2 linked regions of the Ovis aries genome follow. The main gene of each other region encodes a partner of the protein of the gene in region 2 in a complex. Links are inferred from orthologs where the notes say so. Each region holds a gene or a part of one and is shown on either strand. Other genes may lie near its edges. The genes, in order: WDR77 and PRMT5.

Evidence for each region.
Region 1: PRMT5 (region 2) and WDR77 share a complex: the UniProt entries of both Homo sapiens proteins name them as parts of the methylosome complex. The link is inferred for Ovis aries from reciprocal best matches to the Homo sapiens genes PRMT5 and WDR77.

What each region holds. Positions count from the first base shown.
Region 1 is NC_056054.1:88,856,806-88,872,274, forward strand, and holds the end of WDR77 (methylosome protein WDR77), read right to left. Parts: coding exon 15,382-15,469; intron 15,131-15,381; coding exon 14,945-15,130; intron 12,910-14,944; coding exon 12,768-12,909; intron 12,252-12,767; coding exon 12,202-12,251; intron 9,983-12,201; coding exon 9,912-9,982; intron 9,779-9,911; coding exon 9,724-9,778; intron 9,267-9,723; coding exon 9,195-9,266; intron 8,625-9,194; coding exon 8,516-8,624; intron 7,981-8,515; coding exon 7,912-7,980; intron 7,356-7,911; coding exon 7,196-7,355; 3' UTR 3,367-7,195; downstream 1-3,366. UniProt on the Homo sapiens protein: Non-catalytic component of the methylosome complex, composed of PRMT5, WDR77 and CLNS1A, which modifies specific arginines to dimethylarginines in several spliceosomal Sm proteins and histones.
Region 2 is NC_056060.1:21,727,431-21,743,455, reverse strand, and holds PRMT5 (protein arginine N-methyltransferase 5), read right to left. Parts: upstream 9,330-16,025; 5' UTR 9,316-9,329; coding exon 9,206-9,315; exon of another isoform or gene 9,179-9,205; coding exon of another isoform or gene 9,120-9,178; intron 8,554-9,119; coding exon 8,435-8,553; intron 8,137-8,434; coding exon 8,051-8,136; intron 7,896-8,050; coding exon 7,761-7,895; intron 7,409-7,760; coding exon 7,296-7,408; intron 6,964-7,295; coding exon 6,914-6,963; intron 6,706-6,913; coding exon 6,542-6,705; intron 6,107-6,541; coding exon 5,945-6,106; intron 5,770-5,944; coding exon 5,692-5,769; intron 5,600-5,691; coding exon 5,541-5,599; intron 5,454-5,540; coding exon 5,331-5,453; intron 5,249-5,330; coding exon 5,073-5,248; intron 4,211-5,072; coding exon 4,101-4,210; intron 3,856-4,100; coding exon 3,762-3,855; intron 3,581-3,761; coding exon 3,464-3,580; intron 2,309-3,463; coding exon 2,244-2,308; intron 1,328-2,243; coding exon 1,175-1,327; 3' UTR 781-1,174; downstream 1-780. UniProt on the Homo sapiens protein: Arginine methyltransferase that can both catalyze the formation of omega-N monomethylarginine (MMA) and symmetrical dimethylarginine (sDMA), with a preference for the formation of MMA.

The sequences.
Region 1 (15,469 bases), on a different chromosome or scaffold from region 2:
ACGAGCTGTTCTTCGTGAGGGTCAGTTGTTCCCCACTGACCAAGACAGTAGTTGTCAGGGTGGTGGAGTTGTAAACAACAGACAGCAACTCTGGCTAAATCACTGCAAACAAACTAAGAGGGAAGCCTGTTGGAATCAATGGGCATGTTGTACAACCAGTCTTTTTTTTTTCTTTTTATTAAGATATAGCTGATTTATAATATTAGTTTCAGTGGTTCAATATTTTTACAGGTTAGAGCCCATTTAAAGTTATTACAAAAGAATGGCTCTATGTCCCTGTGCTAATATGTCCCTGTTGATTATTGATTTTATACATAGTATTTTGTGTCTGTTAATCCCATACCCCTATCTTGCCCCTCCCTCTTCCTCCTCTCCATGTAGCCACTAGTTTGTTTTTTATATCTGCAAGTCTGTCTGTTTTGGTATTCATTTATTTTTTAGATTACACCTGTAAGTGATAACAAGAGTATTTGTTTTTATCCATCTAACATTTCACCAGGCACTATTCTCTCTAAGTCCATCACATTGTTGTAAATGGCAGAATTTCATCTTATGACTGAGTAAAATTCCATTGTATGTAAACATATGACAGCTTCTTTATCTATTCGGGCTTTTCTGATGGCTCAGACTATAAAGAATCTGCATGCGTTGCAGGAGACGCCAGTTCGATCCCTGGATCAGGAAGATTCTGTGGAGAAGGAAACAGCAACTCATTCCAGTATTCTTGCCTGGGAAATTCCATGGACGGATTCACTTATTGATGGACATTTAGACTGCTTCCATACCTTGACTATTGTAAATAATGCTACTCTGATCATTAAGGTGCAAGATTCTTTTCAAATTAGTGCTTTTGTTTTCTTTGGATACATACCCAGGAGCGGAATTCCTGGATCCTACTGTAGTTCTATTTTTAGGTTTTTGAGAAACTTGCATGCTATCTTCCATAATGGCTACATCAATTCACAATCCCACCAACACTGTACCAAGATTTCCTTTCTTCCATATCCTCACCAACATTTGTTATTTGTAGACTTTTTGGTGATAACCCATTCTGACAGGAGTGAGGTGGCATCTCATTGTGGTTTCAATTTGCATTTCTCTGATAATTAGTGATGCTGAGCTGTTTTTCATGTGCCTGTTGGCCATCTAAATATCTTTATGTAAAAATGTCTTTCCAAGTCTTCTGCCCACTTTTAATTGGGTTCTTTGTTTGTAATAATGAAAATTACAGAAGTAAAGAAAAATTAAGGAGAAATAATTCCATTTGCAATCACATCAAAAATAATTAAGTATTAATAACTAGGAATAAACTTAGCAGGGACGTGAAAGACATACATTCTGAAAACTTTATAAAACACTGATGAAGGAATCTGAAAACAACACAAAGAAATGGAAAGATATTCCATGTTCTTGGACTAGAAGAATTAACACGTTAAGACGTCCATATTACCAAAGGGACTCTAAAGAAGTAATGCAATACCTATCAAAATACCAATGACATTTTTCACAGAACTAAGAACAAGTAACCAGAGATGACCCAAGTTGCCAAAGCAATCTTGAGAAAAAATAACTAGGCTGGAGGTATCATACTCCATGATGTCAGACCATACTACAAAGCTACATTAATCAAAGTAGTATAGTTCTGGCACAAAAACAGACACACAGATCAATGCAACAGGATAGACAGCCCAGAAATAAATCCACATATTTTGTCAACCTACAACAAAGCAGTCAAGAATATACAATGGAGGAAAGATAGTCACTTTAATAAACGGTGCTGACAAAACTAGACAGCTACATGTAAAAGAATGAAATTAGAACTTTCTCAAACACGATCACAAACATAACTTCAAAATGGATTAAAGACCTAAATGTGAGACCTGAGACCACAAAACTCCTAGAAGAGAAACAGACAAAATACTCTGACATAAATGGCAACATATTTTTAGATCTGTCTCTTAAGGCAAAAGAAATAAAAGCAAAAATAAATAGGACCTAATCAAAAGCTTTTGCACAGCAAAGGAAGTCAACAAAATGAAACAAACAAAAAAAACTACTGAAAGGGAGAAAATATTTGCAAATGGAGTTAATTTCCAAAATTTATAAACAGTTCATACAGCTCAATATCAAGAATCTATCTTAAAACATAGTCAGGATCCAAGAAAGAATATTTATTAAAAACAGCAACAACAATTTGGCAGAAAACAACAAAATTCTGTAAAGCAATTATCCTTCAAGTTAAAAAAAAAAAAACACACACACACACAACATCGCCAGAGTCCTGCCATGGGAAGTCTGGTTAGGAATTCTACTGCTGGCTTTGGTGCTGCTGCTACTGAGCTATCCTCGTCATTGCCAGATAACCATTCTTTAAATCTTTGCAGCTCTGCCTCCAGATTTAAGAATTTAATAGATTCCATCTATTCCAGATGGGAACAGCCAAATGGCCAAGTCTAGTTCAGCTGCCTACACCCTAGTGGCTGAGATCAAAGAAAAAAAATACATAAAAACCTCGTCACCCTTAAGCTTCCATAGTCTCCCCTCCACAAAGCACACCAATGGAATCCATTTCAAAAGCACTTCCAACATGTTACTGCTTTGAGATCCTCAGCATGGCTCACAGCACCCACCATCCAGTGGCAACTAGCCTCATCTTTTATCCTGTACCCTCCACCTCCATTTAACCCTAGTTGCAATACCTCTTTCTCTAGGGAACTCCAAGCTCCTTCCACAGCAAGACTCACATGTCTGGAATTCTTCCCCAGCCCCAAGCAACAGCGACTCCACATTCAACCTTTAGGACTCAATCCAAATGTCACTTCATCAGGGAAGATTTACTTCTTCATGACTGGCTACAATCTCTGTTTTCCAGCAGTCTTTTTTTTTTTTTTTTTTTTTGGCTAACGCTAAAACACTAATTCCATCCTGTCTCTTTCTCTCTAGACTTAGCTGCTGCAGGCTGAGCTGACCATGTCTATCTGGCTCACTACCACACATCACAAAGCCCCAAAGCTTGACACACCAAACTCTCCTCTCATGTACTGCTGGTGACGTCCCTGCCTGGTTCCTGACCATCTAAAATTCTCAGGGGGTCATAATCAAAGTTGGTCCTTTTCCCACTTTAACATGCAGGAGTCACTGGGGACGTTGTGAAAATATAAACTCTGATTTCGGTGGTGTGAATGTTTGGTCCTTCTAACAAGTTTCAGATGATGCCAACGCTGCTTGGTCCATGGACCACATTTTGAGGAGCAAGGCAACAGCTTAGCAAATCAAATGATAAGACACATAGGAAACACTGTATAATTCCACTCATATGAAGCACCTACAACAGTCAAATTCATGGACAAGAAAGTAGAAGGGTGGTTGCCAAGGTCTGGGAGAGCTGTTTAATGGATACAAAGTTTCAATTTGGGATGAGGGATAGTGGTTGCACAACATAAATGTACTTAATGCCAATGAATTATACACTTAAAATTTTGTATTTTAATGTTGTTTGAAAAACAACTGAGAGAAAACAAAAAGGCACACATTGACCTTGCCAAGTGGAGTCTGCAACAGGGGCCCAGGGTTGGCATTGGGCACAAGAGACTGCGTCTCTAGGTGCTGAAGTCAAGGGTGGTATTAACGCAAACTCTGCCAGGCAAACTGACATTGGATAATGGTCAGGGGACTGAACATCAGGTAGTTTCTGACCTAATCAGAGGGCTTCTGTGAGACACAAGTTGCTTGTTAAAAATCTGCAGAGCTTGAAGCGGATTTAGGTTGTACATGTCAAGCACTTTTCTAATTCAAACAAGCTTCATTCCTTTCACCTAAGATAAGGGTTACTATTGGAATGGAAAATTTTGGCTTAAAATTGAAGCTCTTAATGCATATAACGTGGTTCATCCCAAAGTGAAGTATACCAGCATCTGATACCCAACATCACAGTGATAATGAAACATCTACATTCACTGAAGGAACTCTCACCCAGCAGCGCCAGCTGAGCTCACACCAGAAAGTTAAAAGGATGACGTTTGGAGGTGAAGCCCTTTATTACTGACCTTTTGAATTTTGATGATCTATTATACACTGAAGCAGCAGAACATCATTTACAAGACAAGCAGAGTTTTCAGAATACGTTGAGGACTACAGTAAACCTTACTACTCCAGACGACACAGATTTTAGGATCAGCAATTGTACCTTAAATGCCTCTGTAACTGAAAATGAGTTAACATTTCCTGTCCTTATCTCTGCACCTCCTTCACTCTCTGGATAGTACACGTCCTATAACCACATAATGAAGATGAAAAACTCCACAGCTATCCATTTGTGGTAAGAGAACTCAGTAAGGAAACGTTGGGGTTCAAAACTGGTCTGCTTACTCTTCCAAAATCAAGCTATATAGACTGCTGATGCTCGTCAGAAACTTTAGTCACCTCAAAAATCAGATTAGAGCTTCCTTACCCTTTTGGGGAACAAAATCAGTTCCCGGCACAAGTGATTCTAAAGTTCAGTATGACCCAGATGTATAAACAGCAACTTGATGTGAATTCTTTCAGCTTTTCACACTCTGTTGGCTCTCCTTAGATGCCCTAAAACTTCCCTAGACTGCATACAAATATTCGGTGTATATCTTACTGAAAGAAATGCTTACATAACAATTTGGAATGAGCTTTTCTTTTTCTTTTCCTATTCTTTTAGTTTATAGATACAAGTCAAGCAACCACGGAAATACTAATATTGCTTATGCTGTCCAAATGCCACAAATCTGCCTTTTAAAAACTCAGAGCCCATTTTTAGGTCTAGAGGTGGCAAGGAAGTTTTGAAGCCCTCTGTAACTGAGTGAGTGGGAAATAACAATATACATCTTCCCACTCTCGCTCTCCCCATCTTGTGCCCTACCACACTGCCCAGAGTACATATGACTAGACGCCCAGTCAGAGCCTGGGTGATTCTGCTGCCTCAGTGAGACTGTGAACCAGCAGGTAATGCCTACAGAGCTAATAATTAAAGACAAGCCTCCTACTGTCTTGTGGGGCAGGACAGATCCTGGAGAATGAACCTGATGTCTGGAGCTACCTGAAACAGTACTTGAGCCAACCTGTGTCTATTGCTCTGAGCACTAGAAATCAGCAGTGGTATACGGTCAACCAGGTTAGTGGACTTGAGTGAAGACAGTGAAAACGGAGACAGATTTACTGCAGGTGTTCAGACATGTGAACCAGTGAAATTAAGCACAAAATAGATACTTGTATGGTTTTAAACAAAACAAAATGAGCCCATTTCCACCTGTTATCAGCAAACCTGTGCTCCTGCTACTGAAACTATTCTCAAGTAAAAGACTAGTGAATAACCCCACGTGATAGTACATTTCTGATTATTCTGAGGTCATCTTCTGTCTTGAACAATCTTCTTTCTCACCATAGTAGACACAGTCAACCAAAACTGGACGCTCATTTCTGACATGACTTTGATTACATTTGCAAATGTCTTGGTGATGACCATCGATGGAATTATTCTGGTTTATCTGAATCAGCACAGGTTTATCTGAATCCTAATATTTTTCACACTAAGTAAAGTGGTTCTTCAAACTCTAGGTTTTCTCCTTTGGTGTCATTTTAACCACCTTGACACAATACATTCATTTCCCTGGATTATCTCATTCACTGAGTTTTCTCTCCACTATTCAAAGTCCATGAGGAACAGGCCTATGCAAATTTAATTCCTACCTACCTCACTCTCTCTAAGAGATAACAAATTTTAAGCTTTTATCTCCAGGAAGAACTTAAAGAGTTTCTATCAACACACCCTATTACCTCTCTAAAAAGTCACATGGAAGAACAGTGAAGGCTTCATTCTCACCTCTCCCCAAACCCAATAGGTAGACCATCTAATAACAAAGTCCCATGTTTTTACTTGAGGGTAATTGTGAGACCAGAGCTCATGCTCAGCAAGGGTGAAACACAGCAGCTTTACTTACAAATCCTTCACCCAAGAAACTACCCCAGTTTCATGAGATTTTAGCTAAACAAAACTTGCAAAGCACAAAAGTACGTAATTGATTTAATTTAGTTTCAATACAATCAGTAATTGATCCATAACTTCTAAGTGGCAGCAGCCACCAATTCAGTAAACAAATATTTACCTTAAGTTTCAACTAGCTACTCTGGGGGGCTGGGGAAGCACATGAAAAAGTAACGGGCTCTAAGATAGATATCTTGATGACTCATGTAAGTGACATGTCTAACTGCACATAACACACATGCTTCAAAAGACAAGCCAACGATGAATCAACTTTTTATTTCACTGACCGGTACTTCTCTCTCTGATGCTGTATTTAAACTCTTCAGAGTCCCCCAAAATAGCATTCAGGTTTCCTATGTCCAGAGATAGGGACCCAGAGGCAAAAAAGGTCAGGCCCCAGGCTGTTTTCAGGTGGGAAGGTGGCAGACATCCCTATGTAGGTCTATGTCAGTTTTTAACTGAACCGCTTCTAAGCTCTCCATCCTGAACCTCTTCTATGGCATCTACGACAGAAATACATGCATCCTCATCAACACAACTCCACGGGGGCGGCGGCAGTGAGGGGCATTACATGGGTACCAGCCAAACTTCTCATTCGGCCAGAAACTGGACTTCTGGCTCGGTTTAATAACAAGGAGATGCATAAAACTGTGGTGAGTGTCCTGGCTCTTCCTTAAGGTGGGCTGGACTGGATGTAAATGGAAGTACTGCTCATGATAAAGCTGAATTAAGCTCTATAAAAAAATAAAGTTGCTCCTATCTCTATGAGCAGTTTCCGAGAATCCAGGAATGCCCACATCCCGTACCTCAGACATGGCCAATTCCTAATGCACAGCTACAGCGGGAAGCATAAAAATCCCTTGCTAATTTTTAGGGCGTGGGGAGGATTGGGCTCTGGGAAGACACGGGATGGATATTTTTCTCCCTTCCCCCACCTACAAAGACTACGTATCTAAACACACACTCAGACACACACACACATCCATGTTCAAGGGAATTTTTCTTCCCTGACTACAGGACCCCAGGATCCAGCCTCCCCTAGGCTGAGACACAGCGCCTTTGAACTGCACAGATGTGGTGTACCAACATACTGCATAAGGCTCCTCTGTTGTCTCATAAACTGAGAGGGCAGGGGCAAAGGGCGTGGATACTCATGGGGGATTCACTTCTTGTCTGAAATCCAATCTACTCAGCAGCACTCTTAGGTCCAGGCTCTGGGAGAGGTTCTGTGGGCAGGATATGGTGGATGACCTGATGGTCCCAGCCCACTGTGGTAAGAAGGGAGTGATTGAGCGGGGACCAAGTAGCATCTCTCACAAAGTCTCTGTGGGCTCGGCTTCTAAACCTACAAGAGAACAAAGAAAAGTGTGGGCTTGGTAAGAGACAGAAGAAAAAAGGAGAAATGGAAAGCACCCACTTCACCATATATATGACCTAGTCATCAGGCCATCAGTGTAGCCAGGCAAAGACGACTCCATCATCCAATCCAGTGCCCTATTTTCATAGAAGAAATGACAGCTAGAGCAAGGGTATGATGTGAGTCAGGGTCAGACAGCATCTCATGGCAAAGAAGGCAGTACCCTCAGATCTTGTGTCTGGGGCCTTTTATCCTATAGCAGGCTGCATTCCTACACGTGGTACTTGGTGCAAAAAGCACACAGTGTCCCTTTCTGAGAGATCACTGGAATGCCAGGCTTAGGAATCCCACCCAACACCACATTCCTCTACCAGGCCCAGAGCTTGGGAGTCAGGCCCTGGAACAGGGAGACAGTCAACAGCTAGCCTGCCTCCATCACCAAGTCTCCCTGAAAGAGACAACGTGCTTTTCCCAAGGATAAAGAGACCCAGCCATCTGCTGGTCCCTCCATGACTCCTGATCATAGGGTCCGTGTCACACTTACACCTCAGAAAGGCCTGAGTCCAGCACAGCAAGTGAGCAGTCCTCACTGACAGAGGCCAGGAAGGGAGCACTAGGAGAGAAGAAGTTTGCAAAAGATCAGTTCATAGGTATCAGGACAAAATTTGACTAGGCAGTCCCCAAACCCCACTCTAAAGTGACCAGAGAAGGTAGCTTGATCCCCACTTTGGTTTAAAACCTGACTACCAAGTCTACAGTACAAGTTTCAAGGGAAGATGAGGAAAACGGAGCAAAGCTAGCACAGAGAGCCATCCCTGCAACTAACCATCCCATCTGGTGCCTCCCTGTAGCTTCAGCAATAACCCAGAAACACAGGCTTTCCAACCACACAGCCCTAGAAGCCCACAGCATAAGTCATTTGGGGTGCTGAGCAGGAACAAGACCGTGTTTTAGCCATTTGCAGTCAGAGACCATACAACACAAAAAACGGACTACAGTCTTAAGAGATCTTTCACTTATTAAGGTCTTCAGCTAAAACAGTGTCTGTTTTAAGGAACTACCCATCAGCTAATGCTATGCCAACACAAGTATTCTCCCTCACTCTTCCCTTTCGTATCTACCAGGCCCTTGATGACAAAGAGCAGTACCTGTGTGGGGAGAACACCAGCCCAGTGACACACTGGGAGTGCACAACAGAGCTGAGGGCACAGCTTGCACTCTTGGTGTCCACAAGGGAGACAGTCCCATTCTCATCACCTGAAGGAAGAAGACGCAGTATGTTAAGGGGGTTAAGAGAATGGACTCTGGACTAGCCAGATCTGTAGTTGAATGCTGGTTCTTCAATCTTGAAAAAGTTAACTGTTCTGAGCATCCATTTCCGCTTTGGTAAAGTAGGAATAATTAGTCATTTGAGGGTTGTGAAAATTAAAACTACTGGATGAGATAACTGTTGTGTTAACTACAAACTACATCACAGAATACACAGCCAGATCACCATGTTAGCATAACCATTCCCTACTATACAATAGGATTCCCTAGGTAACAGTCCTCTTGCTTTGTGGCCCATTGACTTCTAGCCGTGAATGTAAGAGCCACAGCAAACAATCAGGAATCAAATCTTCTAGAATAAAAATTACCATGTTCTTTAAAGCTGAACTAAAACGACTTTTGGCTCATCCTACCTCTGCACACACCCATTAGCGTACTTCACTGAGAGCTCAAGTGTGCTGACAGACTGAGCAGCCAGAGCCCCATGCACCATGGAGTGTCTTTCTTGCTTATTCTCCCCTTCCCAGAGTCAACACACAGTTGGACATGCTGCCTTACCAAAGACAAAGACTTCACTCTGCTGAGGATGCCAAGTCAGGGAGGTAGGAAGGTAGCCAGAGGCACTGCAGCCTGTGAAGGAGAGAAGAAGGGTCTGGAACAAAACTCTGACCTCAGCTTTGAGAAGAAGCTTTGGTGGTGAAGTCACTCTAAATCCCAGGAGCACCTTAATTCAGTTTCCCAAGTTCTGCTAAGGCAGTCCCATCCTCACTCTTGACCCTCACAACCTATCAGCCTCCTGCTCTTTCCAGACCTGAGTCACAGGCAAGTTTCAACGTAAAGCATGAAGTTGACAACTCTGGCCCCTTTATTCGCCCATCCAGGAAATATCAATTACACCCACCCTCAAGAACTAGCCCTTCCTCTTGGGACCCACTGCACAACATGAACCTCAGTGGGAAAGAAAGCAATTAGATCATTCATGTCAGTGACTGGGCATCTGGTAGCTTTGCCTTTGACTCTGGCCAAGGGAGGTCTCTTCCAGGTGGGTTCCTAGTACCATCATCCCACCACCAGCTCTCAGACTCACCCATCTGTGATGCTGGCTTTGGACAGCGGGTATCCCACAGTAAAATTCTATTGTCCTAGAAGAAGGAATAGAAAAAGGGCTTCACAATCCAAAAATAGCTGCTGGCCAGAAGCTGTCCATGCTAGACTTAGGTCTAAAGGGTTCGAGTGTGGTCAGGGATGGGAAGGGGAAAAGCCGCTATATCTTACCTCACCGCATGAAAGAAACACGGAATCCTTGTGGGGAGAGGCAGCAACACAGGTGACCTGCCCTGAGTGAGCTGTAGAGGAGAGAGAACAAGAAGTATGACAGAGGAGATGAAAGCAATCTTATCAAGAAGCCCAGATACTATGACGGGGTAGGAGGGAGGCTGTGAGAACTAGCCCTAGCTAGTCAAATGATGCAAATGAAGAAATTCCATGAGAGTCTGGATACCTAAGAGGAAATGTTGATAGCATTATAAAACCTCAGTAGACTTGCAGGAAAATGAACGGCTACAGTAGACATGAGTTTGAGTAAGTTCCAGGAGTTCATGATAGACGGGGGAGCCTGGCGTACTAAGTCCATGAGGTCACAGGGTCGGACACGACTGAGCGACTGAATGGAACAGAACTGAAAGACATGAATGGTAAAGGCTGAGTCTGATCAGTAGAGGGATTTACAGTAGAGACAGCCTAGACAGCACAAGCACACGTGCCTCCAGGTAGCGTGCGAAGACTTGCAAGGGAGTCCTGGACACTCGGAGTTTTAAGGGCATTTCTCCAAAGTTCTCTCCCCATACCAAACCAAGCAGCTGCCTGTGGTCTGCCAGCACTGCAGACCTCTACTCTCAGTCACCCGTCTCCCATGTGTAAAAGAAACACACACCTCTCCTCCTCCCCAAACTGTATCGTGGTGTGATGTTCAGAGCATAAAAACCTAAATAATAAACCAAAAGAGGGTTTTTGTAAGAGCCAAAGAAGAAAAGAAAGAGCATCTGGGTAAAATTCTGTGAAGGAGGCTGACCTTTCTTGGCCACACCACGAACACAAGTATTTAGGTACTAATTTAAAAACATTTGAAAGGGTACAGTTTTTCAAAATTCTTTTAGGGCTGCACGCTAAGAATGTTAAAGGTCATTCTAAATGTTAATTACCGGCTGTGGAAACCACCTTCTCCAAAGTGATTTAACCATAGTCTAAGATAGATGTGGCTCTGCCTTGAGATAGAAGTGTGGGTTCAAGCCACCTTCCACAGAATCCACGGAAAGCCAGCATTAAGAACAGGAATGTACTGCTCACTTGAAAGAAAGCTTTGGGGCAAGCACCATCGGGGAGGACGAAAGATGAAAAGCTACGTGGGGCCTCTGCCTTTAGGGAACCTGAAATCAGTGGGGGGAATACGAATAAACACAAAGAACTGTCACAACACAGTAAATCAACAATACTTCAATTTTTTTTTTAATTTAAATTAAGAAAAAAAAAAAAAAAAGAACTAATAAAAAAGGCTGTAAGGAGCAAGTGTTTATTTAGCATTGGCCAGAAAAGCATATCATATGTCTATGAAAGAAAAGGCTAATATAGTAGACTTTGAACACTGGCATTTTAACATTATTATCTAACTGTCTGAAACTCCAGGAGACGTGTGAGTTTGTGGTTTTGCTTTGCACGTATCTGAATCATACACTTTGCAGTTAGAATTGGCAGAGATAGGCAGTGAGGGAACTAGTTATCACCTATGTCTACGTCTTTCAGTCACACATACACTAATGCCCTATACATTATCTTCATTAAGATCTGGTATCTTCATGAAGAATGGCTCCCCAAACAAAGTTAACTGCTACTGCTGTTAATGAAAGTGAGCAAAAAGAGGAAAGTTAATAGAAAATGATGGCTCTCATCCTCCAAAAACAAGAATTTATGGATAGGAATACTCAAAAAGTTCAAGGTTCATGAGTATCAGAGTTTATACTTGAAGAATGCCTCAGATGTACTGTGACTGGATTTAGGTAGCACGATATGCTTGAAGGAGGAATGACAGTAAAGAGGCTTGAATGCCATGACACAAACCTGAGATATCAACCTGCAAGCTGCAAGAAACCAGTGAAAGGCCAAAGATGACAGGTCAGGAGATGACATGAGTACCACAGTCTAGGCGAGAGAAAGACTGAATGTAAACGGGAGCATAAGAAATGAAAAGGAAGGTCAGCGACCAAATGGAAAAGAATTCCAAAGAACTTGGGGACCAACTGATAGAAGGAAAAAGGAGGAGTGGAAGAGGACTGAGAGTTTGAGCCTCAGGTGATCAAGAAGGTGATGAGCCTATCGATTAAAAAGATATAGGGAGATTAAGAGCTAGAGTCGACATTGGGACTTGACCATAGTTTTGGAAGAAAACTACCAGGCAGGAGAGCAAAGAATTGGTGTCACTGACATCCAAGGAAAGCTCAAAGAGCACAAAGGAGAGAATAAAAACAGAATAGCTACAACAGGGACTAAAAAGGAAAGAAGATGCACTCACCTCGGTATGAATTCAGAACCATCTGCTGAGCAAGGTCCCAAACCTTGATGCTAAGAAGCAAAGGAAACAGAGACTTCATTTGACCTATACTATATACATAAAAACACGTATTCAAATATGTATTCCTCCATCTCTGTCGTCTACGGGACTACCAGTACAGTCTACTTTTACAATGGACTGAAAATCTCTAAGAAAACCCTATAAGAAACCTTATGAAAGTGAAAGTGAAGTCGCTCAGTCCTGTCCGACTCTCTGCAGCCCCATGGACTGCAGCCCACCACGCTCCTCTGTCCACGGGATTTTCCAGGCAAGAGTACTGGAGTGGGGTGCCATTTCCTTCTCCAGAGGATCTTCCCGACCCAGGGATTGAACCCAGGTCTCCCTCATTGTAAGCAAGACGCTTTACCGTCTGAGCCACCAGGGAAGTCCAAGAAACCTTACAGGTATGCCATAATTAGTCACTGGGTTCTTATAATGAGCCCAAAACATTACTTAGTGAGGCTAATGTGACACCTAAGACACCCAAAGAAGGCCCAGAAACAGGAGCAATGAGAGTGGGGACCCACCAGAAGTCTTTGCTACCACTGACAGCATGTGTGCCAGAGCTCAGGACACTGACTGTAGACACGATGTCATCGTGCTCATACTTGCAGAACTTGCTGACAATAAGCGTCTCATTCTCATCCAGCTCCCACAATTCAACAGCACCTGTTGAGGGTGGGGAAGACGGTGAAGGAAACAAGCTGGGGTTACACCAAGACAGCACTTCACTTCTAGGATGCTAAGTTCTTGAGAGACAAGGATGACACCTCCACAATGATATGAACAGCACACAGTTTAGTATTATTAAATAGTCCCAGTTATTTGGACATTAATTGTCCCAGCTTTATCCTTCCATGCAATGCCTGCCAACACCTCTATTCTTTTTTTTTTTTAAACATGAAACCCTCCACTGGTTTTTCCACTAAGTCTGACATTCAAAACAAAGAAAGCAGAATGAAGACATGTAAGAAACTGGGAAGAAATGGAAAGAGCATAGACTGGTTTCAGCATCATCTTTAAGATCAATATCATCCTTGATGTTGGGTGGATACAGAGAAAAACAGTTTCATTCATGTCTTAATTTTGTTATGAATTTTGCTAGAAATTTCCACCAATTTGGAATCTTGGGACGGGTATATCCTACCCACACAGTTATTCTCCTTTGGGACCAAAACCTTCAAGCTCCCCCAAGCAAGGAGTATGTTGTTGCTATTGTTCAGTCTCTAAGTCACATCGAATTCCCTGTGACCCCATGGGCTACAGCACACCAGGCTTCCCTCTCCTTCACTAACTCCTTGAGTTTGCTCAAACTCATGTCCATTGATGAGTCAGTGATGCCATCCAACCATCAAATCTTCTGTCGTCCCCTTTTCCTCCTGCCTTCAGTTTTTCCCAGCATCTGGGTCTTGTCCAATGAGTTGGTTCTTTGCATCAGTTGGCCAGTGTACTGGAGCTTCAGCTTCAGCATTAGCCCTTCCAAAGAATATTCAGGGTTGATTTCCTTTTGGATTGACTGGTTTGATCTCTCAAAAGTCTTCTCCAGCACTGCAGTTCCAAAGCATTAACTCTTTGGCACTCAGCCTGCTTTATGGTCCAACCCTCACATCCATACATGACTAGAAAAAAAAGTTGTTTTGTCTATATTGGACCTTTGTGGGCAAAGTGATATCTCTGCTTTTAATACGCTGTCTAGGTTTATTGTAGCTTTTCATTCAAGGAGCAAGCGTCTTTTAATTTCATGGCTGCAGGCACCATCCACAGTGATTTTGGAGCCCAAGAAAATAAAGTCTGCCACTGTTTTCATTGTTTCCCCATCTATTTGCCATGAAGTGACGGGACCAGATGCTATGATCTTCGTTTGCTGAATGTTGAGTTTTAAGCTAGCTTTTTTACTCTCCTCTTTCACCTTCATCAAGAGGCTCTTTAGTTACTCTTCACTTTCTGCCATAAGGGTGTCATCTGCATATCTGAGGTTATTGATCTCTCTCCTGATTCCAGCTTGTGCTTCATCCAGCCTGTTATTTCCCATGATGTACTCTGCATATAAGTTAAATAAGCAGAGTAACAATAAACAGCCTTGACATACTCCTTTCCCAATTTGGAACCTGTCCAGTTCTAATTTTCCACACCCAGTTCTAACCGTCACTTCTTGATCTGTATACAGGTTTATCAGGTAAAATGGTCTGGTATTCCCATCTCTTTAAGAATTTTCCACAGTTTACTGTGATCCACATAGTCAAAGGCATTAGCATAAGTCAATGAAGTAGTAGATGTTTTTCTGAAATTCTCTAGCTTTTTCTATGATCCAGTGGATGTTGACAATTTGATCTCTGGTTCCTCTGTCTTTTCTAAATTCAGCTTGAACGTCTGGAAGTTCTCAGTTCACATACTGTTGAAGCCTAGCTTGGAGGATTTTGAGCATTACCTCGCCAGCATGTGAATTGAGTGCAATCGTGTGAATCTGAACATTCTTTGACATTGCCCTTCTTTGGGATTGGAATGAAAATTGACCTTTTCCAGTCCTGTGGCCACTGCTGAGTTTTCCAAATTTGCTGGCATATTGAGTGCAGCACTTTAACTACATCATCTTTTAGGATTTGAAGCATCTCACCTGGAATCCCTTCACCGAGTATGGGACATTAAAAATTGAGCCCAGCCCGACCTCCATTCCACCTGTACAGCTGAGGAGCAAGTGACCCACCTGAATCAGAAGCCACTAGGATACCTCGGTCCCCTACCCAAGTGAGGTCAGCCACTCCGGCCTCCGTCTGGACTCCAGCAGAGCAGAAACCTTCGTTCGGAGCGGCACAAGGGTCCTTGAAAAGCCAGAGAGAGCCAGCCCAGCAGCGGCCACTCAGGCTGGAAGCCCCAAGCAGAAGCGCCCCATCTAAAGGAGATACAAGATGTCAGCATGAGGAGTGGAGAGGCTCGTTTCCCTGGTAACCGCCCAGCAGCCCGCTAGATGCATCTGGACCCGAGCCCGGGAACGCGGGGCACGGCTGGGGTGAGCTCAGCGAAGCGAAGCAGGGGTCAGGCTGGCAAGCGGGGGAATCGAGGTGCGGGCTGGAAGGTTTATTCCCAGGAAGGGGCACTCCGGGGTGGGATAAGGAAACTCCCCGGCCTAGGACCCAGGCTCACCAGACCGGTACCGCGCAGCCTCCAATTGCCGCTCCATACAAGCGGGAGCATTAGGGGGAAGGTTCCACTCCCGGGCTGCCGGGGGCAC
Region 2 (16,025 bases):
CCGCTGCCTCCTGCGCTCAGCGCTTGGACCTCACAAGTCTGTGACAGGTTTATCTTCTTCCACATCTCACACGCTTTTCAGTCGAAATCAGTGCCCCCTACAGCTCCCACTGCAAGGGTAAACTTCAGGCAGTTTCTCAGGTGACTGGGTGCAGCTGTACTCAGCCGTCTATCTGACGTCCACCCTCACATTCCAGGAGCTTCCAGAACTCCCAGAGACTTCAACTGCCTAATACAGCTGCCAAAAACGTAGCTGCTTAAAACATGGGAGACGGCCATGAACTCACAGGAACCATTTGAGTACTGATTTGAATATTAACTTTTTATCATTATACCATTTCCTTTTCTGTAAAAATGTAGACTTGATCTAGATTACCTCTTAGGACTTCAAACTCTAATCCTGTGATTTTACCCTAACAAAATAAATGGCTTATTGCTGGAGAAGTGTGGATGACTTCCAGTTAACGCTCCCAAGAGGTAACAGAGGAGCTGGTAGTGCAGCAGCTCAGGAAGGTGGAAGGGAAGCTGGCTTCACTCACTACCCCATCTCTCTCCGTGGCAGCAAACTCCATGCCTCCTCCCCAGAAAACAACCTAATCAGGTCCTAAAGGACAAGACCTCGCTGTAGCTGCTCAGAAAGACTTGTACCTGGGAGTCCAAGAGTCACCACTAAGCTTCTTAAATAGGAAGTAAACCTAGGCCCCTTCAAGTATTGGATAAGACCATAGATCTGAATACGTGTAAGTAATAGTTGAAGAAGCAGAGGCAGGGGGCAGCAGAGTTAGAGCAGGAAAGACCATAACCTCATTTTATTTGTATTTCCTCCTTACACAAAACCATCAAAATAGGAACAGAGATAGACAGGGAAGAGGGCTGAAAATTTGTTCAATTCACATGTTCTCAGAGCTATCCCAGGGAGCCCTTGAGGCTGAGTGCCCGTTGGAGTAGCCTCAGATCCAACATGAATTCCTCATGCTCAAGCCTGAAGTCTTCACAGATTGGTATTGTGAGCCCAATTCTCCTCCTTTGCCATCTTGACGTAAGGTAGGAAAGCAGACTGAAATGTTCCTCTCTGATGGGCATGGCAAATCAGAGCCCATGGTGTACTGCACCTTCTGTGCTACAGGAACAGAACCTGCAGCTGCTTCCACGGCTCCAGACACTTGCAGGCAGGGCTAGAGGCCAATGGTGTAAGAGCGGCCTGTCGGGTTGTGAATAGCAGAGCAGACCGGTGCCGTCACAGCCCACTCATACCACACCTTCTTAGAGTTGCTGCATCGCCAGAAACGCACACAGATGGTCTGGCCTTCACGCACAGTAATGGGCTGCTGTAAGAAGAAAGAGGGAAGTTCAGGGTGGAACTGCTGAATTTTATGTGGCAAGGTACTAAGCCAAGTGTGGAGATGATGATCAAATATAACATTCCAACCCTCATGAGGTTTGAAGTCTATCAGAACAAATCATCAGAACTGAACAATCTGACACTGAACAAATAATCAAAAGTAGGATGAATGCTGTAAACAGGGACAGTACCTATGAAAAGTAATGCTAACCTAGTCTACGAGGTCAGGGAAAATTATCTGACAATAAGAATGTCTAGTAAGACCTGGAAGATAAAGTCACCTGGGTCAGAAAATGAGCCAAGAACTTTATAGGCAGAGGACAAAAGTGTGAAACCCTGAGGCAGGAAAGAACATGGGGTATTAGAGGAACCAAAAGAAGGTCCAAGGACTGAAGGGATGTAAACAAAGGACAGCAGCTGAAAGGGCAGGTGAAAACTAGATCACACCAAGTCTAAGGAAGATTTAAGACTTTATCCTGGGACTTCTCTGGCAGTCCAGTGGTTAAGACTTTGCACTTCCACTGTGTGGAGCGTGGGTTCAATCCCTGGTCAGGGAACTAAGATCCCACATGCCATGTGCCAAGGCCAATAATAAAACAGACTTTATCCTAAGGGAACTGGAAAGATATTGAAGGGTTTTAGAAGCAGGAGACAGAGATAGGATCATATTTGTGCTTTTATACGATGACTCTTGCTCCAGGTACAGAATGAACAGAAGAATAGCCTAAGTAGATGTGGGAAGCCAGGTGGAAGGCCACTGCAAATATCCCAACGTCTACAAATGCATGTGAGAACAGCAGAACAAGGGTCACAGCCAAGCATTATCCTGGGAGAAGGAAAGGGGCAGAACATCAATGCCATAAGTTACTTTTTAACCCAAGGAGCCTTAAGGTGATACCTACCTTAATGGGGAAGAGGATGGGAAACCATGAAAACATCCCGGGAGAGTGAGTCTCTGGACGGATACCTAAGTGGACAAAATAATGATAAAAATTGAGAATAACTGATTGCTGTACACCTGAAACTAACACAACATTGTTTTAACTATATTCCAATAAAAATTAACAACAACAAAATGAGGTCTCCATGACTCTGTTTTTTGCCTAGGTTGAGGACAGTCTCATCTGTAAACATGGAAACAAGTCATCAAAGATCTCCATTCACTGACTGCTCAGTTCCTTTTGACTCTAAATGCAACATGTAGGCTGCGATCCAAAAGTCTACAAGCAATAAATGCTGAAGAGGGTGTGGAGAAAACGGAACCCTTTTACACTGTTGGTGGGAATGCAAACTAGTACAGCCACTATGGAGAACAGTATGGAGATTCCTTAAAAAAAACTGGAAATAGAACTGCCTTATGATCTAGCAATCCCACTGCTGGGCATACACACCAAGGAAGCCAGAACTGAAAGAGACATGTGCACCCCAATGTTCACTGCAGCACTGTTTATAATAGCCAGGACATGGAAACAACCTAGGTGTCCATCAGCAGATGAATGGATAAAAAAGCTGTGGTACATATACACAATGGAGTATTACGCAGCCATTAAAAAGAATACATTTGAATCAGTTCTAATGAGGTGGATGAAACTGGAGCCTATTATACAGAGTGAAGTAGGTCAGAAAGAAAAACACCAATACAGTATACTAATGCATATATATGGAATTTGGAAAGATGGTAACAATAAACCTGTATGCGAGACAGCAAAAGAGACACAAATGTATAGAACAGTCTTTTGTACTCTGTGGGAGAGGGTGAGGGTGGGATCATTTGGGAGAATGGCATTGAAACATGTATAATATCATATATGAAACGAATCGCCAGTCCAGGTTCGACGCATGATACTGGATGCTTGGGGCTGGTGTACTGAGACAACCCAGAGGGATGGTATGGGGAGGGAGGAGGGAGGGGGGTTCAGGATGGGGAACACGTGTATACCTGTGGCGGATTCATGTTGATGTATGGCAAAACCAATACAATATTGTAAAGTAATTAACCTCCAATTAAAATAAATAAATTTATATTAAAAAATAATAAATAAATAAATGCAACATGTATTAAATACATAAGCTGCCCAGGTAGCATACTCTTAAACCCCCATCCACTGCCCCAGACACTCACTCAGAGTGATGTCCTGATAAAGCACAGTCTCAAAGTAGCCTGCAAAACCATGTAGCACTGTGTTCACCTCCACAGGAAACTCCAAGGTACAGTAGCGATTGTTGTCAATCATAGGATCTGTCAGGGAAGAGCTGTGTGGGTGATGAGGAACCAGAAACCCTAGACAACTTGGTAAAGCATAAGCAGGAACCAGGAAAGAAAGCCTAGATAAGAGGCCAGCTAAACCCAGGACAGCAACGGAAGAAACCAGGGAGGTGAGCTCCCCATTCAGTCAGAGGACAGCCATGCAGGAACCCACCTCTATTAGGATGGCTGAAGGTAAAACAGGGCTGGGGTGCAGACAGCTGGTGGAAATTGTGCAGTCGTACCACATAAGGCATCTCAAACTGGGCCTGTCCCAAGAGAGAGAAAATGATATCTGAAGACGACAGGCGAGAGCTACCTAATTCCTCAGGGAATGCAGCTTAAGCTCTAAGGACACAGACAAAGATAAAAACGTAGGTTCACTTCAGTCACTTTCCCACATCCTCAACTCCTTCACCTCTTCATCTCTTCCAGTGGAATGAAAGTTATGCTGACAGAAAAAAAGAAAAGCATTAAAGAGAGAAGAGACCGCCAGAAGAGAGTGGCTGTTTACCTCAGGGTCACGGTCCTTTTCCCGACAGGCTCGGACCTCATTGTATAGCTTGGAGGAGGAGATGGGAGCTAGAAAGGAGGTGTACTCCCCAGGAATGCTCACACCATCATCTGCAGAGCAGAAGAGGCACATTACTTCCCAGGGGATGGAAATGGTGCATCTGTACTGAAGGCCCAGACCTCCCACATCAAGAGAGACCCAGGCAGCTCCATGTTGTCACATGCCCAGGCCACCCTGCCCCCCCCCCCGCCCCGCCCCGCTCATACCCTAAGGCATTCTACTTCCAGGTTAATTTAGAGTCACAAAAGAGTAAAACCGGAAGGAACCCAAAGTATTCTAATCTAATGGTCCTTAACTCTCTTTCCTTTGAGTTAATGATGAAAGCTAAGTCCAAGGTACATGTCATGGCAGTTCAGGGAATCCACAGATCTCAGACTAAGAATCTCTGCTCTGGGGGCTTTCCTGGTGGCTCAGTGGTAAAGAGTCCCTCTGCCAATGCAGAAGACAAGGGTTCAATGCCTGATCTGGAAAGATCCCACACGCAGAGGAGGAACTGAGCCCGTGCGCTCCAGAGCCTGTGCACTGCAACAGGAGAAGCCACTGCGATGAGGAGCCCAGGAATGCTGGAGCGTATGCTCTCCACTGCAGCTGGAGAGTAGCCCCCGCTCTCCCTGACTAAAGAAAAGTCCACGCAGCAACGGAGACCCAGCACGGCCACAAATGACTAAATAAATACCTTTTTAAAGTTTCTGCTCTGGTCCGCTCCCCTCATTTTACAGATGTGAACACTCACACCCGAGGTTCAGGGAGATTGTGTCACCTGCTAAGGGCACTGACCCGAGTCTGCCCTGCCTCCCCTAAACTCTGTAACCTCTTCTAAGCTGCTGCCATACCCACCCCTCCCCAACCCCACTGAGCCTTCCCAGTTGATAATCCAATCCCCTTATTCAGTACACCCCAGCCTGGAGGCACCTTTTAGGAAGTGCTGGGCTCCATCCAGGCACTCAGGTGACAGTTCATTGTCAGCAAAGGACCCCAGAAGCTCACTGACAATGATATCTGCTTTCTCTGGAGCCACCCACTCCCGCATGTCCGATGAGACTACTGTCACCTGGCTTCCCCATTCTTCAAACTGCCAGTTCTCCAGCCTGAAACAGATGAAACGAGTCAGGAGAAGAAAGAAAACCTGGCACTGGGACCAAACTTCCCAGCATCAAGGTTGCTACTCACGTCACCACAGCATTTGGGTTCTTCTCCACAGCGTACAGCTTTATCCGCCGGTCAGCTTGCTTGGCGGCTCGCAGGGAAGCGTTCACCAAGGGGCCCCGGCCTGCTCCCAGCACCATCAGCACTCTAAGAAACAGAGGGAGCAGTCAAGCTGACTGTACATGTGGAGAGGCAGGCATGCACATCTCTGGGAATCAGGCAGAGAGCACTCACTGGATGTTGGTGTCCTTCTCTTCCTCTGGCACTCGATCTAACAGACATTTATAGATGGCCTGAGGGGAAGGAGGGAAGATCCTGTGGCTATAATGCCATCTTCACCCAGGTCACCCCAGCCCTTTGCCTGACACTGAGACCCACACTGTACCTGCTGGTACTGAGAGTATTTGATGGGGTCCTTTTCGAACACTTCGTATGTCTGAGATTCCAGGTTATCCATCAGTGGCTGATGAATGAGAGGAAAAAGACAGAGTAAGTTAGCCACTTTTTGGCAAGGACAATGCACCAGAACACCAAAACCTTCCCACTGTCTCCTGAGCTCCGGTGAGATTTTATGGAACCTACTCTCAAGATACATTTCCTCCCCCAACCTCCATCCTCTTAGTGCACTCCAGACCCACCTGGAGTGGGGACTGCAGGTAATCTTCATAACCCTTGGCAAAGAGTTCGTAGGCATTGGGTGGAGGTCGGTTCTGGCTCAGGTATTCCAAGTATTGGAGGTAGGAGCAGAACTCCTTCTCTGAGTGGTGGTTGGTGCCTGTGATGATGAACTGTACCTCCAACTGTGAGAATAAGTAGGCCATCAGACACAGTCCTTGAAACAAGAGGACATTATTGAAGCTTATGGCCAAAGAGTTCCAGCATAAAATAAGGCCCAAATCACCAAATAACCTCTGAATACCAACAAAAGCAACAGGAGCCCTCCTATACCACATAAGCATCACCCTGGCCCCAGGGACCCCATGAATCATTGCTGGAACTTCTTACATCAAACTTTCGGCAAAGTTCTCATGATACCCGATTCCTTTTGAAATGGTTCTGGGGCTTCTACTGCTATTTGTCCTTTTGCTCTCAAGGCCCTCAACTTTGCTGAAATTGAGCTCCAGAAGTTAGAGAGGAAGAATCAGCCCCACAAAGAAAAAAAAAAAAATCCCATCACACATATGTGAGTAAAACAAGATTAACTGGAACACCTTTAGAACCCTTCCACTACACACCTTGAGAAGTCGGAAGATCAGCCTCTGGTGCATCTTAGAAAGAACAGGGAATCCCTTCTTATTGGTCAGGAAAATGCTGGTGGGGAGAATGGCTGCTTTGATGGGCTCCCCAAGCCAACGATCAATGACATGGTTAGATGGGAGGTCAGCACCAATTTCAAGAGCTACAAAAGGGAAAACAAAGACCTGTCAATCATACAGGCCAGAATCTTTGCATGCTCTTTTGTGCAAGATCTGTCTCCTCCTTAAGAGCAAGGCAGACTAAAGCATGGAGAAAGTATGCCCCAGCAGCCAAGTATACATGAGACTCCTGATTTTTAGTCACAGGATTTCAGAGAAGGATAACCTATCCCAGGATCTTTGTGGACTCACCCACTGCAATCCTCTTGCTGTAATCACACAAGGTCCGGAAGTTGTGCCACCTGTGCAGAGTTAAAACACAGAAGTTAGTTGCTCAGTCATGTCCAACTCTTGTGACTCCATGGACTGCAGCCCTCCAGGCTCCTCTGTCCATGGAATTTTCCAGGCAAGAATACTAGAGTGGGTTGCCAGTTCCTTCTCCAGAGGGTCTTCCTGACCTAGGGATTGAACCCAGGTCTCCAGCATTGCAGGCGGACCATTTACTGTCTGAGCCACCAGGGAAGCTCCATCAAATACATACGGCCCACTAATCACCACACCTCAGGGAGACCTTCCTACAGGTTCCACTCTGTACTTCCCTCCACCCCAGGTACAGTGGCAAAAGGAAACATACCACATCCATGTCTTCTCCTCTCCACTGTACTCCTCTGTGTGAGAAGTTGGTGCGTTCTCAATTATATCATCTCTCAGGTCCTCTGGTGCCACCAATGGCACCCGCATCCAGAACTGCACATGAACAATAAATAGGTTCCACACCCTATTTAGAACTGTTTTGAACCCATTGGGTCCAGAAAGCTTCCTTCAATTAAAAAGATCTTGATCCAGATTTCAAGCTAATCCCCTTATATCCTATTCCCAATTTGTGATTATATGTTGTCTTTTATCTCTAGAAGTTGTGGGAAATAACTGATATTCTATACGTTTTATAATACTTTGCTCACCACTCTTAGTGTGGGTAGGCAGTACTGACATTTCAGTTCTCCCAAATGCACCCTTCACTGAATGGCTAGGAACAAGAAGATACTTAGCACAGCCTGACTATCATAATATGCAGCAGGGAAGGAAGCCCTTGCCATACCATGGAGGAGTGGTGGCCAGTGTGGATGTGATTGGTCAAAACTCTCGCCAAGTTTGTGTTATCTTCCTGATTTAGGGGCAGCAGAAAAGCTGGAAGACCCAAATATGCCCCAAAATTCAGCTCCTGTAACATAGCCTGGAATAGAGATTAAAAGGATAAAGTTAAGAGCTAGCAACTCAAATAGCTTTAATTGCATTATATCAAATTTACTAAGTTACAGAGTGGGGAAAAAGTGCTCTCCCCACCCAACTTGTTTACTGATATTTAGTCAGTGAAGAGGTCAGTCTTACCGCCTCAGAGTTCCTGCGTATCTTCTCCACTTTTGAGTCTGGACGAATCCATGGAGAAAGCTTTCCCACAATTAGTGTATTCCAGTCTGCACTCCCCCACCCAAGAAAGACAAAGACTAAATAAGGTTCAGCACTTTACTCATTCAATTTCTAGTTCTTAACAGGGAATAGAGTTACAGATGAGACAAAGACTTTTTCTATCACAGATACAGGAGAGCCTGACAGAATAGGGAACTAAGGCTTTTAGTAGGTAGGTAAGGAGTTATCTATATCCGTGGGGCGAACCAATATATCCAAGTGAAGAAAGGAAGAGGAGGAAGGCACTGATAAAGCATAAGTTGTTACTGCCTCTAATAATTAAGGGGCATGTGGGATGCTCCCTACCCCTTCCTGACAGCAGTAGGTCTGATCGTGTCTGGGGGCCCGGCCGACTCTTAGCAGGTTCCTGAGTGAATTCCCTCTTGAAACGCGGGTGGAACACAGGCATGCAGAGGAAATCAAACCTACAACCGCGACAGACCCAGAATCGTCATGTAAAGACAGCAGCAGTGCCCAGAGATCCAAGTAATTGGACTGGCTCTCTTGATTCTGCACAACCCTTTCAGCTGCCACCAGCGACCCGACTAGACTGCTGAATTCAGCCAACCTTGGGGCATATCACTTCCGCTGCACTGTGCCTCAATTTCTCGCCAGGACACAGCCATGGAAAAGATGAGTTAAGAGAAAAGATGAATATCCACACCACGTGGACTTTCTACTCTGCTGTCACTGGTTTTCCGAGACTGTCACATCCAGATCGGCAGCAGTACTGCCTAAGTATCCCCCCTCATGGTTTAACTCTCCTCTCCCTAACCTCCTAACTATTTCTCCCAATCTCACACGGGGCCCTGGAGGTCTCTACGCCCCCTTTTTGAATTTACTTGATAACTCCTCCGACTTTGGGGTTCAGTGACCACACGCCCCCAATAAGTTTCCCGCCCTCCTCTCAAGCTCCAGGGCCCGAGGCTTCTCCCCCCGAAGGACTAAATGGTTTCTCCCGCCCTGGTCTCATCCACTTCGACCCCCTCACCCCTGCCTCTCGGGGATGACTGGTCTGTCCCTCTCGGTCCCCGAGTTCGGACCCCGCATTCAGCTCGCGGAGGTCCAGGCCCTCACCCCTGCTTGGCCACAGCCCCCAGTGTGTCAGCTATTTCGGGGACGCAATTCAGGTCCCTCCCGCTGGACACGCGGCTTCCACCGGCACCACCGACCGCCATCGCCGCCATCTTTTCCCTCGCGCAATCCACGCCGAGATTCCCTGAAGCTAGCAGCCAATCACAAAGCCGGAAAAAAGCCCCCAGAAGGCGGGACGTTTCACCTTAACAACCAGAGCGTCTCCCACGGCTCTAGAGCTGGAGGAGGAAGGGTGGGGAGTGGCTCTTCTCGCCAATCCGCGGGCTTCACAGTGACGTACGGCGAGGCTTCGGAACAGTCACCAATCTCAGGGTCTGATTCTCGACGAACTTAATCTCCCATAATGCTTCGTGTACTCGTAGAACTCCGTGCAGAGACTACACGTCCCATGAAGCCCTGCAGTATAAGCTTGAAGTGTCATCATTGGGGCCAGCGAAGTCGTCTCGGGGCCAGTGGCGCAATGGATAACGCGTCTGACTACGGATCAGAAGATTCCAGGTTCGACTCCTGGCTGGCTCGGGGAGACGCGTGTGTTTTTGTTGCATCCCATGCAATACTGTCATAAGCAGTATTTTGAAAGTATCCCGTTCTTCCCTTTCTAAATTTCCTTATGATCTCCTCTTACCCTCATTTTTAGCTCATAATTTTATTGCGTTCTGCAGCCATTTTATGTCAGCGTTTTCCATTGCCTAATTCAAAGATGGTTCTTGTGTCTCTATTTAGGTCCTTCAAAATCCTGAGAAAATTGAGGTAATGACTAAATTGGGCTTTGTATGGGCCTTAGTATATTTTTTAATAGATTGTGGCAATTTAGCCACCAACTCCTTTCTATTCTATATCTCAAACAAACAAAAAGTAAATAAACATCTAAACACACACTGAAGATAGGAAGGAAAAGAAAAAAAAACTCATGGTGAGGAATTACAGTGGAGAGGAGTTATGAACAGCCTGGCGGAGACCTGAGAGAATCTCAACATTTTCCTTTCTAGAGAATTTCTACATTTTCTTTGTGAACACCTGCTACAGGGATGGAAAAGAACGAAGCAAAGAAAGATATAGGGAGGAGAAAGAGAACCTGAAGACCCAGAGGTGTTGAGGGCCTGGCAGCGAGGATGGATAGAGAACACAATACGGAAGGCCCGAGGCAGGAGGTCACAGAACTTAGTGACCAACGGACAGGAAGCCTGATAAGGGAAGTCTGCGGCTGAAGCCCAAGATTTTGGCCTCTTTGAGTGCTACAGGAAATGAGAAGCTCTTTTAGGGAGAATCAGGGTTTGGGTTTGGAAATGCTGAATTGGACGTCTAGGGGGCGCTGTGTAATAGAGAGTTGGAGGAATAGTGATCAGAGCCAGACAAGATTTGGAAATCGCCAGGAGAGGTAGTGACTTTAGCCACGAGACTGGATGAGATGACGTAGCCCGTGAGGGATCAGAGTTCTGAGAAATACGGAATGGGTGTGGATAGGATAAGCAATAAGGAGCCCTGGGTGCAATGTATTTAGTGCGTGCCCCCAAAAGATAAAGGTTAGAAAACTAAAGAAATGAGAAAATGCCTATGGAGCTTAAGAGTTGGAGGTACTTTTATCCCTATCTTATTATTATTATTACTAGACTTTATTTCTTAAAACAGTTTTAGAATTATAGAAATCTTGAGCAGGTGGTACAGTACAGCCAGCTTTCTCATGTCTTCCTACTGCTTTCTCTATTATTAACATCTTAACATTAGTATGATACATTTATTACTATTGGTGGACCAGAATTGATGTATTATTATTATTAACTAAAGTCCATAGTTTATTTAGATTTTCTTAGTTTTTGCTTAATGTCTTCTTTTTGTCCCACCATCCCATCCAGGATACCGTATTACATATAGTTGTCAGATCTGCTTACGCTCCTCTTGGCTGTGACGGTTACTCAGGTACTCCTTATTTTTGATGACCTTGATAGTTTTGAGGAATACTGGTTAGGTATAAGAAAGAAAAGCGAAAGCGAAGTCACTCAGTCGTGTCTGACTCTTTGTGACCCCGTGGACTGTAGCACCAGGCTCCTCTGTCCATGGGATTCTCCAGGCAAGAATACTGAAATGGGTTAGCCATTTCCTTCTCCAGGGGATCTTCCTGGGATCGAACCCAGGTTTACCCAGATAGAAGGGAGACGCTTTTACCTCTGAGCCACCAGGGAAGCTATGCTGAAGGACATCTCTTCCCTGGAGTTTGTCTGATGGGGTCTTTCATTAGACTGGGGTTATGGGTTTGGGGGAGGAGGATCACAGAGGTAAAGTGGCCATTTTCATCACAGCATATCAAGAGTACATACCATCAACATAATTTTTGACTGTTAATATTGAACTTTATGACCTGGTAGAACTAGTGTTTATCAGGTTTCTCCACTGAAAAATTACACTCCCCCCCAACCCCTTCCATCCTGTACTCTTTGGAAGGAAGTCACTATGTACATTCCACACTGAAGGAGAAGGGAGTTATTTTTTCCCTCCTTTAAGGTGAAGTGTCTACAGTATTTATTTGAATTCTTCCCTGAAGATCTTATGAGTAGAGAGTTGACGGGAAGTGGGTGATTCTCTGCCGACATTATAAGAAGAAGAAGAGTTGTTGGGAAAGCCTGCTTGTTGTTCTCTGCCCCAGCTGTGCCCAACCAAACTCTATATTCACAGAAGACTTATGAGATGTTCGTCTTCAGAAAAAGCTAATTATCTGGGCTGTGGACCATCTGTGTTCCTGGCATCTTCCTCCTGATGTCAGGCTGGCTGGTGGCTGTTCTGTTGATTGTTAACTAACCCATCCATGGATGAAAAGGAGAGAGGAAAATCTATGAAATCGTAATGTCAGTTTTGTCATCAGTGAAAATAATTTTCTAAAGGTTTTGTGTTCAAAAGAGCCTAGAATTTCTGACTGACCTTAAAGTAAGTTTAGACTGGCTGAATTTCATTCATCTGAGATGTCTTTGTTTTTTCCTTCAAAATGGTCTCTACTATGTGGCAAGCATGATGCCAAACGATTCCAGGTAATCCCACACCACATTGCTCTCCACTTCTCCTACAACACTTTGCTTTGTCTTAAAGAACAGCACAGACTGTGGGTCTATATGAGCTACAGAGGAGCAAAAGGGAATGAATGAAAAAGAAATAGAGAACCTTTTAAAGGGCTTGGCCTAGGCGTAAAGTCAGGGTTAATCAGTTCTGTCTTATCCTCTGCTTCCCTCTCCTCTGCTCTCCATGCTGAACTTTTGTGCTCAGAAGTATGTCAGTCACTATTACGCTATAGCATGTAGGCCTTTGCTGGAAGGAAGATAGAGATTTGGTAGGTGAGAAATAATGTTGCTTTCTCCAGGAACCAGTGACTAACAGGTCAGAGCTCTGGAAACGTTTCTGGAAGGAAAGGAGTACCCACCTTCCAGACAATCCTCCAGCATTCCTCAGCTGCTGCCCAGTCCTTCTATCTGCTCCTGTTTTTCTGTCCTTATTTAAACACGGCCAGTGAATTGTAAACTCTCCTTTCACTTTCTCTTGGGCTCTCCTCCTCCCTCAACACTGGTCTCCCTCCCCAGGCCCACCTTCACTCACCTCTATGCCTGCCCAGCCAGCCGCACTCTTCAACACCAAAATAATGGCCCGTCTGACCCTCCTACTGCTCCAAATTGCTTCTTCACAATCAAGGCTGTCCTCCAGCTATGAAAGTAGCAGAGTTACTGAGGCAAAATAATCTGTGCCAATTTGCATCCTCTTCCTTGTCATCTCTATTATACAGTATTTATCTGTCAAACTGAATAGAAAGTAGAAACTGTTCTGGAACATAGAAAAAGATGGAAAACTACCCAATTGTTTAGGAGGCCAGAATATACTTAATATCAAAACCTGTCAGAAGGAGGACCTTTCCAAAAGAGCAAACCTATAGATTTACCTAATTTAGGAATATAAATGTAAAAATCCTATAATATTTGAGATTAACAATAAATGTCAATAGTATATTAACATAATAATAATATACCAGAAACAGTTAGGGTTTATCCCAGGAACTAACACAGGTTAGGTATTAGGAAATTTATTTATATGATAGGTCAAAAATAAAGCAAACAAGAAAAAATTTGATCATTTGTGATAGTCATCAAAGAGAACATGGTAAGTAAATTCTATTTTCTGAAACATTGTTTTTTTAAAAATTATTTTATTGATTTTTTTATTTGGATGGGCTGGGTCTTGGTTGCCACATGTGGGATCTAGTTCTCTGACTAGGGATTGAACCCCAGCCCTCTGCATTGGGAATGTGGAGCCTTAGCCACTAGACCACCAGGGAAGTTCCTCTAAGACATTCTTAATAGTCTTAATATTCTTTATATATAAACACATATATATGTGTATGAAGTCAACAATTCATGTAAATATAAAATAATACAAGAATGTCTTATCTCATCACTGTGTTATTTAATATTATTCTAAAAAAATCCAATACAGTAAGCCTGGAAATTTTTAAAAAGGAGTTATAACTTTTAGAAAGAGAGAGGCAAATTTATCATTGTTTGCAGATGATATGATTGTGTATATAGAAAATCCATGAGAACCAATTCAAAAATGATGAGAATTAGTAATAGCATTCAGAGACACCACTTGATACAAGACAAATATAAAAATCATATCCTTAGCCTTCTTATAAACTAAGAATAACCAGTTAAAAGATATAACTAATAAAAATATCCCAATAACATGGTAGTTAAGGTCAGAGACAGTAGAGCCAGGTGGTAAGAGGTTAGCCCTATTTATCCATTTACTAACCATGTGAACTAATCCCTCTGGCCTCAGTTTCTTCATTCACAAAATAAAAATGTAAATTATAGTTATCTTATAAAGCTATGATGAACATTAAATTAGTTAATACTGTAAAGCATTTAGAACCTTTCTGCACATAGGAAGCTTTCAGTATACATTAGCTATTGTGATTAGTTTCTTTCCCATTCACAGAGGTAACAATAATATCACCATAAAATACTTAGCTGTAACCTTAGTGGAAAATATGAAGAAACTATATATAGAAAACCTAAAATTTTGCTGAGAGAGAGAGAGACTGAAAAAATGGAAAGACAAGCCATGGTCTTAGAAAAAAATGAATCTTATAACGATGTCAGTTCTTAATAGTTTGTCACTTTTTCTACATTTAATCACAATTCTAATGGAATCTTTTCTTACTTTATTAAATGATTCTACCATGCACTGATGAGTTTCCCAGGTGGCGCTAGTGATAAAGAACCTGACTGCTAATGCAGTAGATGGAAGAGATGCACGCTCAATCCTTGGTTTGGGAAGATCCCCTGGAGGAAGAAATAGCAACCTACTCCAGTATTCTTGCCTGGAGAATTCCATAGACAGAGGAGCCTGGTAGGCTATAGTCCATGGGGTCACAAAGAGTCAAAACTCGAGTGAAGCAACTTAGCTGTTGCGTTTGTGTTTTTTTTCTTTTAAGAAAAAGCAGACAAGAAAGCAAAGAAAAAAGTTTTTAAAGAGGAGGAAGGAGAGGGAATTTGCTCTACATTTTTAATCCATTACTTCAAACCCTTTATGAGACAAGCAATGTATAAATAAGTAAAAGGCCACGATGTGCGGTGGGTACAAGAAGAGACAGAGTAAAAAGGCTAAACTAATAGTCTAGAAATAGACCAGTTGCTCGTGTGTAATAAATATATGAATTCAACTGATGATAATAATAACAGCTAACATTTATTGAGCCCTTATTTTGTGTCAGGTTCTATGAAAAGCACTATACATTCACAAGAACCTGGTGATGTAGGAAATGTTAATCTATGGGTAAAGGAACTAAGTCTTAGAGAGTTAAGTGACTTGCCCCTCTAAGAAGGGGTTTAGATGGGGTACAAACCTAGGTCAACTGACTCAGAGCCTTTGATCTTAGCCTTAAGACATACCATCTCTAATTTTCCTTCTAGAAAGCTATCCTAGACAATATTCACAAACTAGATAAAGGACAGAAATTGTACGGACCTAACAGAAGCAGAAGATATTAAGAAGAGGTGGCAGGAATACACAGAAGAACTGCACAAAAAAGATCTTCATGACCCAGATAATCACGATGGTGTGATCACTCACCTAGAGCCAGACATCCTGGAATGCGAAGTCAAGGGGGCCTTAGAAAGCATCACTACGAACAAAGCTAGGGGAGGTGATGGAATTCCAGTTGAGCTATTGCAAATCCTGAAAGATGATGCTGTGAAAGTGCTGCACTCAATATGCCAGCACATTTGGAAAACTCAGCAGTGGCCACAGGACTGGAAAAGGTCAGTTTTCATTCCAATCCCAAATAAAGGAAATACCAAAGAATGCTCAAACTACCACACAATTGCACTTATCTCACATGCTAATAAAGTAATGCTCAAAATTCTCCAAGCCAGGCTTCAGCAATATACGAACCGTGAACTTCCAGATGTTCAAGCTGGTTTTAGAAAAGGCAGAGGAACCAGAGATCAAATTGCCAACATCCGCTGGATCATGGAAAAAGCAAGAGAGTTCCAGAAAAACATCTATTTCTGTTTTATTGACTATGCCAAAGCCTTTGACTGTGTGGATCACAATAAACTGTGGAAAATTCTGAGAGAGATGGGAATACAGACCACTTGACCTGCCTCTTGAGAAACCTATATGCAGGTCAGGAAGCAACAGTTAGAACTGGACATGGAACAACAGACTGGTTCCAAATAGGAAAAGGAGTATGTCAAGGCTGTATATTGTCACCCTGCTTATTTAACTTATATGCAGAGTACATCACGAGAAACACTGGGCTGAA